2 linked regions of the Oreochromis niloticus genome follow. The protein of the gene in region 2 purifies or fractionates together with the protein of the main gene of each other region. This does not show direct contact. Links are inferred from orthologs where the notes say so. Each region holds a gene or a part of one and is shown on either strand. Other genes may lie near its edges.

The links.
Region 1: the proteins of prkag3b (region 2) and pip4p2 purify together in Homo sapiens (affinity purification with mass spectrometry; 3 studies listed by BioGRID and IntAct, with this or other methods). This does not show direct contact. The link is inferred for Oreochromis niloticus from reciprocal best matches to the Homo sapiens genes PRKAG3 and PIP4P2.

The regions. Positions count from the first base shown.
Region 1 is NC_031985.2:21,130,506-21,140,335, forward strand, and holds the start of pip4p2 (type 2 phosphatidylinositol 4,5-bisphosphate 4-phosphatase), read right to left. Parts: upstream 4,282-9,830; 5' UTR 4,100-4,281; coding exon 3,994-4,099; intron 1-3,993. Other genes in the region: uncharacterized protein si:ch211-57n23.1, read left to right, coding at 7,782-8,329. UniProt on the Homo sapiens protein: Catalyzes the hydrolysis of phosphatidylinositol-4,5-bisphosphate (PtdIns-4,5-P2) to phosphatidylinositol-4-phosphate (PtdIns-4-P).
Region 2 is NC_031987.2:36,015,660-36,024,900, forward strand, and holds the start of prkag3b (5'-AMP-activated protein kinase subunit gamma-3b), read right to left. Parts: upstream 3,566-9,241; 5' UTR 3,337-3,565; coding exon 3,250-3,336; intron 1,575-3,249; coding exon 1,470-1,574; intron 1,372-1,469; coding exon 1,290-1,371; intron 1-1,289. UniProt on the Homo sapiens protein: AMP/ATP-binding subunit of AMP-activated protein kinase (AMPK), an energy sensor protein kinase that plays a key role in regulating cellular energy metabolism.

The sequences.
Region 1 (9,830 bases), on a different chromosome or scaffold from region 2:
ACATTTGGACGAACCTGGCTACGACTACGACGCGAGCACGCCAAGACTGGGCACTCCCACTGAGTTTCAGGCAGCAGAGTGGCTCTTATTACACAACAAAGCTAAATGAATCCTCCTCTACTACGCTTTGTTAATCTAAAATGTAACACAGTGCGACCAGATGGAGAATATTTTTTATTATTCCATAACACCTTAGGATTAAATCTGAATTTTTGCCGTGTTAGTATCCATCCCCCCTACTCAGTCTCAGGTCTGTTTCTCCTCCTCTTGCTGCTTTGTGTGTCTTAATGCACGTCTGACACTGAAGACAGCAGCTATAGGTTTTCACGAGGAGCCAGAAGAAAGACGAGAAGACTCTGCTGCAACCACCACCAACGCCACAACATACAGTTCTGCTTTAAGGGTATCGACTCGATGACTTCACTTGTGGTTTGCGGGATAGAATGCCAAGCTGAACATCTGGTATTCAGACACCAGCAGCTCTGGAGACCTTTCTGTGTGGCCAGAAAAAAATAATCTCTTTAATCATAAAATAATTCTACAGTTTTACCGACACTACAATCCGTCTGGCCATCCCTCACTACAGCCAACATTTTAGACTTAATCTAAAGTCTTTAAAATCTGGCAACAAATTTGAGGGTTAATTTGAAAGAAAATCTAGTTATCTCCTAAAGCAGCTAAGTTAGTAGACATTTAGTGCATGTGTGTAAGACACAGTATAAAAATTGCAAACAATGTGCCTTAATTACATCCGTGTTTTACACTATTACAATAAATTATTAATCTAAACATTTTGGTTACGTTGTGTCTAATCGTTGGGTTTTCTTCTAATAAAGTGCTGCTCTGATTCAGATGATAAGTCCGCTTTTATCATGTTAAGATCAATGTTATTGTACCGTGTCTCCTGTTGTGTTCATTTACTAAAGGACAGCATGTCTCGACAGCTGATCTCTTTATTCCTGGAGGAGTCTTTCCAGGCTGGGCAGTTCTTTGCCTCAGTCATCTTGGCCAATTATAACTTGGGCAGCTTGCACCTATGAACAGTTCAGCCAGATATCAATAAAGCTCCTCCACTCGTCTGATTAGTGTTGATCAGTCAGACAGGGCATTGAGTTCGGCCGGCTCTGTTTGCAAATCCGTGACTGATAACTGATGACTGCAAATATCATTTCTGTTTATTTTAACTAGACTGAATTACTTTTTCTCTTCCACTGACCTGTGATAAAGACTCGTCATTGGTCACATTAAGTCACATGTTCTTGTAACCCACCCACTTCCACACAGTAGCTGCTCTCTCTTTGGAGGCAGTTCTTTAATGGTGGAATCAGCAAGTTAATATTTTTAACTTTGTGTTTTCATGATAAACATGACACTGAGAGTTTCTACTACTAACAAAACAAAACAAGATAACAGTGTTTTTTTAATGAGAAAGTGAAGTAACAGATTTTTCATACTAATGTAACTGAATTTATATACACTTGCCAGACACTTTATTAGGTACACCTTTCCAGGATTTTATGGGACCCCTTTTTTTTGCCTTTAGAGCTTCCTTAGTTCTTCGTGGCTTCAACAAGGCGCTTTCTCCATGGTGTAATGTCCATATTGACATGATGGCATCACACAGTTGCTGCAAATCTGTCGCCTGCACAGTGAACTCACTGTCATGTTCAAGAAACCTGTTTATGGCATTGTGTGTTATCCTGCTGGAAGCAAACATCTGAGGCTGGGTACACTGCGGTCATAAAGCGATGGATGTGGTCAGTAACCTTACCATCTAACATCAAGTCTCATCACACAAGTCAATGTTTTTCCAGTCTTCTATTGTCCATGTTTGGTGAGCTTGTGTGAACTGTAGTCTCAGTTTCCTGTTATTAGCTGACAGGAGTCTCACCTGCGATGATCTTCTGCTGCTGTCGCTCATCTGCTTCAAGGTTCAAAATGTTCTGCATTCAGAGATCCTCTTCTCCATATCTTGGTTGATTGCTTTTTTCAGTTGCTATTGACATTCTATCAGATCAGGATTTGTTCTCACTTTCTGACAAATCTCTGTAAATTGTAGAGACGGTTGTGTGGGGAAAATCTCAGTAGATGAGCAGTTTCTGAAATACTCAAACCAGCTCGTCTGACTCCAACAACAATGCCACATTCAGAGTCACTTAAACCACCCTTCTTCTCCAGTTTGATTCTCAGTTAGTCGTCTTCATGTCTACATGCATCAATGCACCGAGTTAGTGCCATGCAACTGGCTGATTAGATATTTGCATTAATGACCGGTTGAACAGGTGTACCTAATAAAGTGACCATGAGTTGCTAACAAGAAGAATCAGACCTTTCTATTTCGGTACTGTAATAGCAGGGTAACTGGATCTCTTCATATAAAGAAACCTGTTAACATATTTGCTGATGTTTCATGACTTCACCTTGGACTAATTAGTCCTGATAATGTGAAGCTGGTAAAGCTTCATTTTAAACGAGGCAGACCGTTTGTTTTTCTTTGATTATTTTAGGGCAAAATTAAAAAAAACAAGCAGCAGCCACTGAATTTCTACCTGCTACTACAGAATCATTTCAGTGAACACAACAAGTATTACATGGATATCATAAAAATTTAAATTCAAGCCACAGCTCACTTTAGTGCCTTAATGCAGCTGCTCATTAGTCAAAGCAGCGTCACAGTCATTGTGTTTCCGGGAAATGTCACAGTTTTGGCATCTTAGGATCAAATTAATCCATTTTACAAACCCACACTGGAATTAGCCAATAATCCAGTCTGCAGAGAGGGTGGAGGGAGAAACTGTGTCACTGTGTTAGCATCCAGCCAGGCTCTCGCTTCCTAGATTATTACAGTCCAGCATTAAGAGTTTAATCCCGTGGTGAAATATGAATTCTGTGGGATTAGACGTCTCGAGAACAACAAGCACTTCTCTCTCTCTTTCTCTCCTCTGTTTGTTTGAAATTGGCCTGAAATGCTCCTTAAACTGATTTACACGGTCAATGAGTCCATTCATTTGCTGCCGACCATCCCGAGCTGCTGCAAAGCAAAGAAACGTTGTTTCTGTCAGGCCGCTGACAAAAACTTAGAAGCGGAAACAGGGGAAAAAAAGTCAAATACCACTGAAAGTAGCACTCAAAATCTAATCCTCAGACAAGAGAATGTGATCTGAGGTGAAAGTAAAGCCTGAATCAATATTTAATGCCAGCAAAACACAAGGAGGGCTCTATGTGAGATCATGCATTTTTGCAGCTCCCACAAGCACTTTGCTTCGTCTTTCTTCTTGTGGAGAAGAATAAATTGAGAATTTGAGGAGATTATATTCAGAGCAAAGGTCAGTGCAGACAGCTGCTGCCAGTCCTGAGAACAAGCACTGTGGGCTGTAACTTACATGTTTATGTTTTCTGCTGTATGAAAGATGCAAATCATGCAAGAAGGCTCAAGCTCGTCGCTTACAGTGCATTCACCATGCAAACGAGCAAAACTCACAGCTGCCATCATTAAAACAGGAGAATACGACATTTAACTCGTGTTGCATTATTTCTCCCGTAAAGGGCACACCTGTGGGTGCTTTTGTTGATCTGCAGCTGGACAAAAGGATGCTTCGCCTGCCTCCATCTGCAATGCCTCAGTGCTCCCACGTCAACATTCAACCTAAAATCTACTGAGGCTTTGCAGAGCTTCAGCTCACACCTTTTTTTTTTTCTTTTTTTTTTGCTAGCCAAAGTCACGGCAGGCCCCAGTGAATCGTGATGTAGAAATCTCTGCACTGAAAACACTGTTTGATGCTACTGCTGGTATTACCGCAGGCCCCTTCTACATAACCCACTGCTCCAGTTCTCACAGTGCAAGCTCCACCTTTCAGTCAGCTGCCGACTGATTTCCCAGCAATGCCCTTGCCTCGCCTTGCTGCAGCTTTATTTACGCACTCACACAAACTCGATACGCCCTGAAAATGATTCAGCATGCAGGCGGCGGGGTGCTGCGTGTGGCGTGTTTACCTCGGGGACTTGAATCCTGCAGGTACGGGGGAGCTGTCGGGGTCACATTCTCGGAGTTGGGGCCCGACAGCAGCGGAGATCGCTCGTCCATGCCGTCGGAGGCCATGTCGTTGACCGTGATAAATGACGGGGTGGCTCCTGGCTGCACCGAGTTTTCCCTCAGCACGGAGGAGCAGCCAGAGGCTGGTTGTTGGTGCCGACTCGCTCCGGTCCAGCAGCAGCAGCAGCCCCGCTGACGGCAGCCTGGAGGGGGAGGAGCTCCGCGGTGGTCCCCGCCCCTCTAAGATATGGCCCCGGGCATGGGCAGAGTTCATGCTGGTGCACACTGAAGGAATTTTTTAATTTTTTCCTGATAAACTGCATTGATTTAAAATGCGTTGTTCCCTTTAATACCCCAAATACAGATTTATTCATATTTAAGCCTAAGAATAACAACAACATTAATGAAATCCATACGTGACGATAAAGTTTGAGAGTTTAAACGGTGGGATAAGAAAAAGCAGCAACTCACAGCTGTTGCCGCTAGATGTCACCGTGGGATTACTGAGGTCCGGGGCAGTGCAGTCAGAGCACGCTCGCACCATATTTTACTATTGTCAGGTTCACACTACGGAAGCGTAGAGCTACGGAAGCGTAGAGCTGCCACCCAGGCAAAAGAAAAATAGAAGTATATCACGTTATAACGTGAAAAGTTTATTGTTCTAACAAGATACTTTTCATGTTTGTACAATATACTTTTGACGTTTGAACAATATAATATCACGTTATTACAATATACATAAATATCACGTTCGTACAATATATTTATATTGTACGAACGTGATAATTATGCATATTGTAATAACGTGATATTATATTGTTCAAACGTCAAAAGTTTGAACAATAATTATATGCATAATTATCACGTTCGTACAATATAAATATATTGTACGAACGTGATATTTATGAATATTGTAATAACGTGATATTATGTTGTTCAAACGTCAAAAGTATATTGTACAAACATAGTATATTGTACAAACATGATAGTATATTGTACAAACATGAAAAGTATCTTGTTAGAACAATAAACTTTTCACGTTATAACGTGATATACTTCTATTTTTCTTTTGCCTGGGTGGCAGCTCTACGCTTCCGTAGCTCTACGCTTCCGTACTACGCTTCCGTATCACACAGCAAAGTCCCGCTGTGTTGTGTTTTTTATGTAGACCAGGGGTGGCAAACTCATTTTACAATATGGAGGACCACGAGTACCAAAATTAAGTAACTGTTAAGCATACCTGCCGTTTTCTGCCTGTGTAAAGATGTTTAACTGCACTTTTAATCCCATTTAATACAAGAATAAGAAGTGCAGTTATAATGGTAAGTCTCAGTACAGCATTGTACATGATAAAGGAATGCTGCTGCAGTCAATGAAAGAAATCATTACAGAAAACTAAAAAAACCTGCGGGAAAAGGTTCTGATAGCTCACTGCTCAGACTGTCCTGCAATTACAACCACAAGAGAGTCATAAAATAATAAATCATCATTTAAAAAAATGTTGGTCCTTTAGAAATGTCTTTATATTTGTCTATCTATTACTTTAGTGTAGTATGAATTGCAAAAGAAAAACTTCTGGGCATTTAATAGCCTCAGATATAACAACCCCCCAAAATAAATAAATAAACATACAAGTGATCAGGGCTTTTGCCAGAATTTTCAAAGTATTGTGACTCAGATTTCTCTTTATTTCAGAGTCAGTTTTGGACTTTGCTTTTCACTGTATTTACAACATTTGGACACAATTATACAAACATGTGAACCACACAGATGGCCTTTATAGAGCCGACTGTTCATACTATAAACAGCACTCCTTTTTCAGTTTGACTGAAAAAGATGCACTTTCTCAGTTTAAACATCTGACGACATGTTTTCCAGCATCCCAAATTTTTCAGAATTGGGATTGTAAAATTTAAGCTTTGATCTCTCTCACTGAAAAGAAAAATTAAAAGTAAATCACAATATTTTCCAGCACACATGCTCATAAAGTGAAATCTTTCCATCAAGGGAATAATAGTGTTGGTTTTTCTCTCAAATGTGCCGTTTGTTTCCAGACAATCCAAACCACGATAAAAGCTTGTAAAAATGTATATTTCTGTGTGTAGATACTTTTTTAATAAGGTCAAAGTCACATTAGATCACTTTTTGGTGACAACAATAGTATAAAGATACAAAATTACTATAAAAGTAGTCAACTCTTACAAACAGATCAAATAAATGAAGTGTTACTGAACCATGTAAACAAAGTGGAATTAATATTTTAACTTTATTCGGCTTCTTATTATTGTCATGTTATTTTTACATTTTACTAAAATACCCAGTGAATACCTTTAAAAACTTTACTTTGCGAGGCAGCAGGCAAACTTAAGCTAAACCAGTGATTTATGGCATAAACAGGACCTCATGGTGGTGTAATGCTTTTAAGTCCCACCCTTTTTATGTTTTACAATTCATCCTCAAATTTAGTGTTTGTTTTCAGAAAACTGCTCGTCATTCCCCTTAAATTGCAAAACCCTGGCTTGTTTGTGCCAAAATGTGTCCCATTCCTTGCAGCTTATGTCAGGGTGAAAGCCTCAGGCTGTGTAGATCCACTCTCTGGTCATTCAAAAAACTCGCTAAATAACTACAGATGCTCTGCATGAGTTTTGAGCTCATGGACAGTCTGGGTACTTTTTGAAACTCTTTTCTCTCCAGTAACTTCAGGGTAGCATCGTGTTCAAGTGTAACTCAGGGATGGTTTCAGAACAGCTAGTTTAAGAAGCAGATTTGGTGTTTTAATTCGAGCGTGTTGCTGTAGCTGTTTAGGATGTTGTAAATGGCTCATAAATACAGCATCGCACATCCTTCTCCCCCTGTCACTCAAATCAAAAAGTCTTCACAAAAGAAGTAAAGCACAAATGAGCATAGAAAATGAAGCTCACACAGAAGTAAATACACATCAAAGCAGGGATACGATGCAGAGAATGGCGCTCTCTCCCTCCAGCAGGGAGTTTTTACTGTAACCCACACCTCACATGCATTTTACAATCTCCCATCCCATCCCCTTCCACTGAGGAAAAATCCAAGCTCCTGATTCTGCTGTTACCGGGCCAGTAAAAGTGATTCAGATTGCATGTAACAGTCTGCAGTGAACGACTCATTTTTTCCGACGGCTGCAGGCACCAGAGGAGCGCCGCTACGCACAAACAGAGACCGCTCTGTGCTCTGTGCTCTCTCTGTAAGGTAAGACCGCTGAACAAAAGTCAACTTAAAATGAAAATTCAGATTACATCCGTAAAAAAAAAAACAAAAAAAAAACATCGCGGTGATCTGGAGTTCAGGATTTCCTTCAGTGATGCGTTTGCAGTTTTGATTTGTTGCCAACTATGACGCTACCCAAACTGAGGCAAATTTCCGGTTAAACTGCAGGAGAAAAAAACACAAATGTATGTTCTCTGGTTTTGTACAGGATTTATTTTTTGGTGTAATTTAATAAGAAATTTATTTAAGCTTATTTGCTATTGAACTTAATAAACTTCATGCTTTTATTTTGAATGTTATGTCACTGAATGCATGCAATCAAGAGGTCTCAGTGTTATTTTTCATGTTTCTATTGATCAGTAGAAATTTCTTGCCCTTCACACAGTAGTTTTCTCTTGTACATGAAGTTTAAGTATGAGAATACTTGATAATAATCATAGTGAATGGATTTTCTCTGGTGATTCCTGCGTGTCTAAGTCTTTTTCTTTTTAATGCAGTCAGTTTGGAGATGCTCCAGGGGACAGTGAGCAGGGCTTGGCTCTGCCTGTCCTTCTGCCTCCTGTTGGGGATCTGTTCTCCAGCAGAGGATGGAGGACCAGCAAGTCCTCCTCCTAGTTTCCCCCCTGAGCAAGGGTCAGGGGAGTCGGATTTCGAGGACTGGGAGTGGGGCTCTGGATCGTCTCTTCTGCACCTGCTCCACAGCTTCCCCGCTGACAGCCCCTTCACAACAGAGTCCTCAGAAAAGCCAGTCAACTGCACACAGCGCTTCTGGCTCCCTCCATCATCTCCAATCTGCTGGGAAAACATAGCAGGACCCAAAGAGTTTGCCAGGTCTCGTCTGCTTGTTCTGCAGAACAGGGCGGCCCTGCAGGCGGTGTCCACCTCCAGCGGGGTGGAGGAGGGAGGGCTGTCCTACGACCACCAAGCTAGAGAGGAGGTCCAGGGGATCCGATCAGACCACCAGAAAGTGACCGAAACTATGCAAAGCATGGAGACCGTGTTTGTCTCTCTGGCAGAGAAGAGGAAAGAGGGCAAGGAGCGGGGTGTCTTTACGAGGTAAGAAACAATAACAGTGGAGAATTCATTTATCAGCTTTGTGGGAGGAATAACCCAAGATCAGCTGGTGGGTGTAGAGGTGAATACTATTAAATAGGCTATATATATTATTAAAGTTTTAAATGAATAAAAGAACTCTGTAATTTTAGAGTGGGATCATGTCACACCCCATGAATTAAAATTTACATCCACCGAGGTCTTCAAGGTCAATTTAATGATTTATTGGTCAAAAACTGACAAAAAGCCTTATAACTTAGAAGCTATGATTCTAAGTGTGCAGTGTATTGTCAATATATAGAAAGTACTGTATAATGATTTAAAACATGTCATACTTGGCCTCTGACCTTGCCCTCAAGGTCTATGGATTGATCTGAAAGTCAAAGTGATATTAATGCTACTATAGTGGACAGCTATTCAAAGGCTGTTTTCTTGTATTTGTGTCAGTGTTGATGGTATATTTGCGCATAAACCACTACACTGGACGCTGATGTGTCACTACATACCCTGCCACCCACTGGTCATTTAATGTTACTATAGAGGTATGACATGTTTCATTGTAATTATTGTTATTTAACCGTGTCATGCATGAATTATGACAATCTCAATCAGGATTTTTTTCTTAAGTATTTTTATTCATCTTTAGGCATGAAAAGATGAATAAAAATACTTAAGAAAAAAATCCGCATCATGGGAATCCCCGGCAGCCTACGTCTATTGCAGCATTACTAAGGGAGGATTCAGGGTCACCTGATCCAGCCCTAACTATATGCTTTAACAAAAAGGAAAGTTTTAAGCCTAATCTTGAAAGTAGAGATAGTGTCTGTCTCCTGAATCCAAACTGGAAGCTGGTTCCACAGAAGAGGGGCCTGAAAACTGAAGGCTCTGCCTCCCATTCTACTTTTAAATACTCTAGGAACAACAAGTAGGCCTGCAGAGCGAGAGCGAAGTGCTCTAATAGGGTGATATGGTACTACAAGGTCATTAAGATAAGATGGGGCCTGATTATTTAAGACCTTGTATGTGAGGAGCAGGATTTTGAATTCAATTCTGGATTTAACAGGAAGCCAATGAAGGGAAGCCAAAACAGGAGAAATATGCTCTCTCTTTCTAGTCCCTGTCAGTACTCTTGCTGCAGCATTTTGGATCAGCTGAAGGCTTTTCAGCGAGTTTTTAGGACATCCTGATAATAATGAATTACAGTAGTCCAGCCTGGAAGTAATGAATGCATGAACTAGTTTTTCAGCATCACTCTGAGACAGAATATTTCTAATTTTAGAGATGTTGCGCAAATGGAAGAAAGCAGTCTTACATATTTGTTTAATATGTGCGTTGAAGGACATGTCCTGGTCAAAAATGACTCCAAGGTTTCTCACAGTGTTACTGGAGGCCAAGGTAATGCCATCCAGAGTAAGAATCTGCTTAGATACCATATTTCTAAGATTTTCAGGGCCGAGTACAATAACCTCAGTTTTATCTGAATTAAGAAGCAGAAAGTTAGCGG
Region 2 (9,241 bases):
TCACCCATTTGTGGCCAACACAGTGTACCTTGTGATGGTCTTCTAGAGGAGCAGCATCTGAGCTGGTGACACCAACTGATAAAATGATCATGGAGGCTGGTTCTGTGGCTAGAAACTGGACACTTTTAAAGATATGTATTATATATCCATAGTTCCTAGATGCTTTGCATATAATCTGCACCTGGGTGAACTGGCATAGTAGCATTCAATTATGAAATTAGTTTTCTGTCATAATCATGAAAACATAATCCAAGCAAATTATTTCATTTCACAGGTGCATGTATTCAATGCCACTCAATACAATTTGTTAAATAAAGTTTGCCAAATTATTATCAACAGTCATTGTTTACTGTGTAGCTGTGGAAACCCTGACACCTGTCACTGGATTATGCTGAAGAAACCAGTCCAAAGACAGTTGACTCAAGCCAGCAGGATTTCACTGTGAGCACAAACAGCTACCTGCAGGAGTGTGACACTGTAGCAGCGTGTGCAATGGTTTCTTTGTGCGCTGCTAAGCTCTACCCCTGCAGAATCTTGAATGTATGCCTGAGCAATTTAAATGGGTGAGTAGCATCTGTGCCTGTGAAATGAAATTATTTATTGATGTTTTTTCCCATGCAACGTATAACAGAAAAATAATTCCATTGAATCAGTTCCCTGTTTTTAGTCCTTGTATGGCTTGTTGCAGTCGTCCACTTGTTATTAGCATTTCTTGGTTTCCCTGATGCAGACCTTGTTCAATCCGATGGCAAGGTTTTATGACTTTAGTTACTTGTATTTATTATTGTGCTATCTACTGTACAATATAAAGCGCCTTGAGGCGACTTTTGTTGTGATTTGGCGCTATATTAATAAAATTGAATTGAATTGAATTCTCTCTCCCTCATGTTCTGAGCAATCATTTATTTTACTGGTGCTCTGCATGGGCTTCAACCCCTTAAGCCAGCTCATCACTAATAATAGGTATTGATATAGAGTTAGGAGTGGAGTGACCATCAGCCACCTCCTGCACACGGAAACAGGTCCTAAGCACCATATTCATAAAGGGGGGAGCCTACCACAGCCAACAGCACTCAAGTTGCAGATTTTGCACAGGTACCCCAGACATCATCTAACACACAGTGGCAGAATGTAAGATGCAAGCTGGGAAAGCATTCGCAGAGCAGCTTGGATTATAAAGAATTAATAAACCACCGAAGGTTGTATGAGGGGAGCTCAAGTTTCAATCAAGATTCATATTACTCACGCACAAGACGCTCAGTGCTACAGACAGATGATGTATGACTCACCTACAAAACACTGAAGCTTGCTGTCCCACAGCGGCGCTGCCCTCACACCATTAGCCACCAGAGCAAAGAAAGCCTTCTTCACCTGCCAAACAAACACCCAGTCATTGAAACAATGAGCATGTGTTGCAACTGTGGCTTGTTTTACTGGCAAAATAAAAGGATGTGTTGTGAACATTAGACCTGCAGTGTTGTGTCAAAGATGACCAGTTTGGAGCTGGTTGGGATGGCATCGTAGCAGGAGTGACTCTTCATGAAGTTCATGTAAATGAATGTGTCAGTCTGGACCTGTGGAGAAGAGCAGGTGTTGCTTATGTAAAGCCACCGACAAATAAGAAATATAATATACACTACTGTTAAAAATGTTGGTTTAATGTTGGGTATTTATATGAGGGGTTTTTATTGTTTGTTTTTTAATAAGGGCATCATAATGTTTTCCACAAAAAAAAGATTATATGTTCTTCAAGCTTGGGTCTAACAGTGTTTTCAGAGTTTGAGGATGCTGACAGTATCTGCAGTCTTCTGGACAGAGATGTGATGTTTGGACCACCTTTTACATCTACTCTGGTTATTTCTTTGGCCCCTGGTAAGTTTTGATTTGCTCGTGCTCCTTCTTTCCTTGATTTTACTGGTAGCTGGGACTGCTGCATCTACAATCCCAATTCCAAAAACAGTGAGACATTTAGTAAGACATTAAAGATACTAAAATACAAAAAAAGGACCAGGGCAACAGGGCAATTTTACCACTGTGTAGCAATATTTGAAAATAGCAACTGTGCAGTTTCAATACTTGTAAAGTAACCAGAAACAGTGGATCAAGTATGCAGCAGAATAAATATTATTGAGAATTCAGCAAACACAATCCACATCTCCCCGTCTGATTTCTTTTCCGTTTTCAGGACATATATATGTGCTGCAACCTGGTACCTGTAACATTAGCTTTAACCATATTGTGTATATTTATAAATTCATTGATTAACCCTAAAGCCTCAAGTCATCACTATTTCAGTTAAGAGTCTGTCCCTGACTTTCTACTGCTGTTCAGATTACACCTGGAATTTAATTGTGTAAACAAGGTTGCGCATTATTTTATAAAGTAATTATCAGAATCAGAATACATTATTAATCCCTAAGGAAACTGTGTGGTTACAGTTGCTTCAAGACAGTAAGAACAGTAACAATCTGAACTAATTAAATAATACAGTACATTACAAAGTTAAAAAAAAATATAAGAAATAGCTCTAATATATACAAATGACTATACAAATATCCAGAATACTACAGAGGTTAAATATATATGTTTGGCATTTGACTCCAAACTTCAAACTGTAAACTCTGTTATTTGTTATTTTCACTGTAAAGGATGTGGGTATAACTATTGTACAGTGTACTGTCCATTAGATGGAGGAGTTGTGCAGAGAGACAGTCACAGGCAGGAATGATTTCCTGTGTCGTTCAGTGGTGCATTATGGGTAATCTCAGTATGTCAGTGAAGGCGCTCCTGTGACTGGCCAGCACATCATGGAGTGGGTGGGAGGTGTTGTCCAGCATTGTCCTTATCACCTTATCCTTAACATCTGCCTCTCAGACACCACCTTAAGGGAGTCCAGCTCCATCCCCACAACATTACTGGCTTTGTGATCAGTTTATTGAGTCTGTCGGCATCTGCGGCCCTCAACCTGCTGCCCCAGCATGCAGCAGCATAGAGGATGGCACTGGCCACAACAGACTCATAGAAAATCCTGAGTATTGTCTGACAGATGTTAAAAGACCTCAGGTGACAACTCTGACCCTTCCTGTAGACTGCAGTGGTATTTTTAACCCAGTCCAGTTCATTATCTATGTGTAATCTGAGGTAATGTAAAAGTAGTTCCAGTGTTTTTCCTTAGCAACTTTTCAAAGTCACGTACAACAAACAGCAGCACACAGAGGTGCAAGGTGGAGTGTTAGGACAGTGTCTTACCTCTGCCAGAGATTCCATAGCCTGCAAACAACAGCAATAAGATGTCTGCACCTGTAGAATCACACTGACCCGCAAAACCCTGGGCATCAAAATGACAGACAGCAGCACTCTGACGGACTGTCTACCTGGAGGACCTGTGAGACTTTGCTACCAAGTCAGATAAAGAGGTGTTGAAAGACTCCAGGCATGGTGAGAAGGACGGGAAACTGGACAAACTGAAAGAGGGAGACAAATTGCTCCGTGAAGCTTGAGACAGCTGGGACAGAATGTCTGGGAAAGACTGAAGTCTAAATCTGGACTGAAGTGTGAGAGTGGCATTTAGAGGGACAGAGGAAGAGTGGGTGGAGATGGGGGGGTATTGCCTTATTAACATTTGTAGCATGTATGAGATGTCTGTATATCCAGTAATCCACCCTTTCCTCCAAGTATGGTCACCTCTGTCTCCATGAGAGCAGCCAAAGTGCCAACATTTATACTGGCTCTTGAGTGCAGACTCGAGAACAGTGGATGATACAGCAATGACAACATCCAGCTACGGTAGCAACCAGCGGCACTTCAGCACATCCATTAGCTTCAATTTCAAGTTTTTCATTGAGTTTGTGTGTTTTTAAGATTAACTAGCAGATCATTAGACATGCTTCAACAGTAGACCTAACTGCTCTGCCCAAAGTGTAATTTCTTCTGTTAAAGGATTTTACATTACTTTTAGTTTTGTAATGTTTCTAATTTTTGTGAAACAGCTGCTAGTAATATTAGCTAATATTTGTCTTGATGTATGCTCAATCATCCAGGTAAGTAAATCCCAGAGGTTGATTCTTCTCCTCCAAGTCAAGATGAGCTGAACCACAACATTTTTTAGCTAATATTACTTTGATTTTAAATGTGGAAATGTTCATATTGTAGCTTACATTTTTAATAACCAACTTTGATGTAGGGCTTTTAATGAGGTGCATTTAATTTCTCCCAGGATAGCTGAACTTTATATTTCTGTGTTACAGAAAAAAAGAAGTGCTCAGTACAGCTTTAAGACTTTGCTGGTACTACTGTGGGAGACATTCAAGGTTTACTGGGCCAGTAACTATTTATAAATCTAGTAGACCATCTCCTACTTTGCACCGTAGTCAGTTTACATGCAGCCTCTAACATCACTAAACACATAATCAACATTTTTAAAGAAGCGATTTAAAATTTGCCAAAAACCCCTTTGAAACCTGAAACCATGTGTTCTCTCTTAATTTCCAACAAAACATAACAAAATAAACTCTGCAGTTTGTTGACTAAAAATGAAGAAACTGTTGGCTAACGCACACAGATTCAACACTTCTTCTCAGGAGGTGTTAAGTACAGCTCAAACATGTAGATCATTCTCTGAATCCAGTTTACATTCTAATTCAGATTCACAGCCAGCTTGTACAACGTCGTGCTAATAATAACTGCAGGTGTCCAAACAGGCTGTGCTGCTGGTTACAGGAGACCTCAGATATTAATAGTTTACAGCTATTTACAGAGTCCTTTTAAAATGTTGTCAGAGTATCACAGCTGGGTGTCTGTGTTACAGTTGCAAAGAAAAGTTGTCAACGCCCTGAAAATGCACAGAAGCTGCAGTGATTGGACGGAAGAACAAACACAATGTGATTAAACTAAAAAACAGCAAATTTGTAAAATCTATGTCTGCAAAAAGTGAATAAAGGTGAACATCAGAACACATCTGTGGAGAGATGCGAAACTTAACCACTTTTTGGTTAAATGAGATGAGATGAGCCTTTTTTTTTGTTGAAAAACTACAATGCTGTTGTTTAAGAAATGGCAGCCCAGAATCCCACCGTTGGTGATTCATGTTTGAATAGAGTCAATCTAGAGTGGGTCAAAACTCGCAACAACCCAGAAATACTCAAATAGTTTCATTGGGTGGTCGCATAATCCATTCTCATAAACCACTTAGAAAAATACAAAGGACTTTGATCATTTAAAAGAATTTTGTTTTGCATTGGAGTGCTATGACTTGTTAGAGCAGTGAAACGAATGAAATATAAGGCGTCAAAAAAATTATTCGAAAAAAATACAAATATATATAATATAAAAATCATCATTGCAGATCAGTGCCAGTAACAGTAACACAGATTATTATTCATATTTATGGAGTTTTCCTTGTTTTTTCATTATTAGTTCGTTTACGCAGCAAATAAAAAGACACTCCCACTCCCACTTGCCTACACTTGCAGTGCAGTAGTTCTTGCAGACTCTCCACAGCTGGAGCAAATGGTTACTGTTCCCCTGTAGAAGAGCGCGGTCCGAGGAACAGCAAAGATACTGAACAGGCCTCTGGTAGAGAGGCCTGAAGGATAAAGACCGCCCAACGGAGAGAGTGGAAATATAATATATACATGTATATGTTTGATCCTGGAATCCTGGATTTTTTTTATTAAGAATGTCTCAGTACATTTTTCTATTCATCTTTTCTTGAGTTACATGAAGCATGACAGTCCCATATGCTGAAAGACAGCCCACAAGCATTGACTGATTGATTGATTGAGCCGTTTATTTGTCACAAGCAATGTTACACGTACATGCAGTGAAATAGGACCCCTTCCAACCATACATACATGCACAAAGATGACGTTGGGTAAGACAGGTCGGAGCGAGGTAGGATGGTAAGAAAAACAATTAAATACACAATACATGAGGGGACAGGAGGGAAAAAAGAACTCCACCCAGACTGAGCTACTGAGAGGAGAGCAGAACAGAACAAAACCTTCAGCACAATGAAGCACATGACTCTTCACACCTTACAACATAAAAAACACATGGGGTTTGGGAGAGAGGCGATGTAGAGCCATCTGGTCCTGCAGCCGGACCCTGGCCCTGTACACAGACCTGCCTGACTGCATCGGGTGGAAGTTTGAAGGCGTTTGGGGAGGTTATTGTATATCTGTCGGAGTACATGTGTATGTGTGCGTGTGTGTCCTATATCCAACTTGAGAGAGAGTGCCCTTTCACCTAGCTTTAAGCAAAAGTCAACAGTCCCCCAGCCGACGCAGGTGACCTTGAGGAAGTAGGAGGGTAGGGCAGAGAGTCATACACCGTCTTGTAATCTGGGAGGATTTGTTGTTCCAGCTTTGGCCCTGGAGCTTCCAGCTGGCGAGGGGAGGCTGTGTGAAGATAGGGGTTGTTTGGGTTTGGTTTAGGCCGAAAAAAACTGCATTCTAATTCCGCAGTTGATCTAATGTCCATCACTGGTCCCACGTCTATCGATTTCCTGTTGCAGAGTTGCAAGCTTCTCCATGATTTTATCCATGTTGCGTTCAGTAAGCGCAGTCTGAGTACTCATTGCTCTACCCACTGCATCAGTCATGCCGGCCAGTCTTATGGGATTTTGAGCACTGTAACCACTTTCATTAGTCGTCGATAAGCCAGGGCCATGCCAGCTCCAATTAGCAAGAACCCCGTTATAATGGTTCCAAATAGGTAGATGTCTTCAACGTCCTCCATCGACAGTGTTGCCAGGCACAAGACCCACCACTTTCCCCAGCCGTCCATCGTGTATCCAGCAGCAAACGTCCCCGCAGGACATTCAGGCTCACCCGAGCCCGGGCTTCTCATTGAGAAGAGCATGTCAGTTGCGTTAAGAGACCAGCTGATCAAATCCATAATTTCTTGATTTTAGAGAACAAGACGGAGAGAATCGCTGAGAATTAGACAAGACGAGACAAGGACAAAAGAAGCCAAGCAGGAAATAAAAGGGAGGGAGGGAGGGAGGGAGGGAGGAAGATGCGACCGCCTCTGTTGAGAGCCAAGCCTTTATTGTTAGTATGGTATATTGAGATGATATGCAGTGCCCTTTGACCTCCAAACATGATGGCAGCTTCCACAGTGTTTGAGCAAAGCTAAAATCATATTTCTGGGTAAGTTTTGATGTCCTTATGACTGGACAGGGCTATGAAAGCCCCTCGCTCATTTTAGAGACACTCACCAGCTTTGTTTAACATAGATCATCAAAGTCCATCCATAAACATGCCTGTTACGCCCCTGACTGTATTTTTGTGATACGCTCATGTTTCCACTGTTCTAGCTACTTAACACGAGTCAGTACAGCGACATGCTGTCACCACCATGTAACTGTTCATAGTTGGACCCGTTCTAGGGTATTTGAGGAAGGACCTTTATTGTGAAATCAATACATTTACAATGGTAATCTTTTTTTCTCTCACACACTCAGCAGTCATCAAAAGCTAATTTACAATTAGCAGCAGCCTCAAGTGTTATCATCTGCAGAGATCTGGACATGAAACGTCTCCATTATTAAAATAAAGTTTTAACTTGACCTGTAAGAATCTGCAGCCTCTGAAAATCTTTCTGTATTAGTCTGCACTCAGAACAAACAACAAGCAGCAACTCACATATGTGTTCATTATTGTTTGTTCTCCAGAAAACTTTGATATCATCAATGTTCATATTGTTCATTGTGTTATTGTTCCGACAGTCCAAGGTGACGTCTAGAACAACATGCTTCATATAATGCATGTAAGAATGCGCCTGTGTCAGCGTGGCAACATCAGGCAGAAAAGAGTGATTTTATATTGTGGAAGTGCTAACATGTAAATTAGCAATGTATGCAATGTTGCCATTTGTTACAGTATAGTAAGACAACAAAATATCTTTTTCTACACGATATATATGAATGCTGTTGTGATCAAGCCCTGATGGGTATAACAACAAAAACGTACTGCAAGAGCAGCACTATTGTATCCAGCAGTGCAACATGTGTGAACACTTATGAAGAGCGTTGTCGTTGCAAATCCTTGGTCGGACCTGTGAGACAGTCTGTGGTCTGTGATCTGACCGACCATGTCAGGACAGATTAGCTCCACCAGCGTCTTCTGTTACGCCCCAGTCTAGGGGTACAGGAACGTAACATAAGAGTTAAAAAAGGAGCTTGTGGGATGGTTGCAGCAGCTTCTGCTCCCACATCCACCACCAAACCTCCAGTCGCATCAACCAGCCGAGGTTTCGACTTTGCAATTACCCCTTTATCCAACAGCTATGCTGTCAGACACTGCTTAATTTCTGCCTTTTTAGCATTCAAAGGTATACTAACATTAAACAAATTTGTCACCAACAACAAATCTGACTTTGTGCATCGATCCAACTTATCCATGGTGGGTCGTTGCACAAAATCATCCACGTCAAAAGTAATTGTGGCTAGTTTACCCCCAACACTACAAGAAAACTGCCAACCAAAAACTGTAGACAACCTACAAAACACAATGAGCAAAAAGAACGGCAAAAGAAAAGAGCGGATGAGCCCCCACTTTATGTTACGCCCCAGTCTAGGGGTACAGGAATGTAACATAAGAGTTAAAAAAGGAAGTGACCCCGCCCTGGGTCCCAAAACCATACACAGAAAAACCAATTTCTTAGTGAACGGTGGTTTATTTTTCTACACTGAAAATGAAGCTCCGGGGTGAACAAAGGCCAAAATAACAAACAAAACAGACTAAGTCAAGAGAGGAGGTGTTGTCTAAAACCCTATGTGAAACAAAAACCAAATGAAAGACAAACGCTACACCTAACTCCCTAACTGAGATAAACAGAAGAAAACAGTACAAGGAAAAATAATAAGGAAGCTCACCCGTTCTGTTTCAGTGCTATTTACAATGTGCTATTTACAAGTGAAAACTGATGTACACACTACATACAAAGCTCGGTAAGTCACGAGAATCTCAAACACAAATGTCACAGGTTTTGGAAGCCAGGGTCAGGTCTGCTGCTGCTGTCAGTGGCTACCCCGGGACAACTGCTGGTGAGCGATTTTGAAAAGAGCCACATGATCAGGGACCAATCAGCTGCCGTCAGCTTCTCCAATCAGGGACCTGCAGAGACTTGAAGACAGAGCACAACAAAAGTACACAGCCGGCCAAGGGCCGTAACACCCCCCTTCCCAAGACCAAACATCTCCTCTATAGATGGTTGGCACTTAGGACTGGAGAAAACC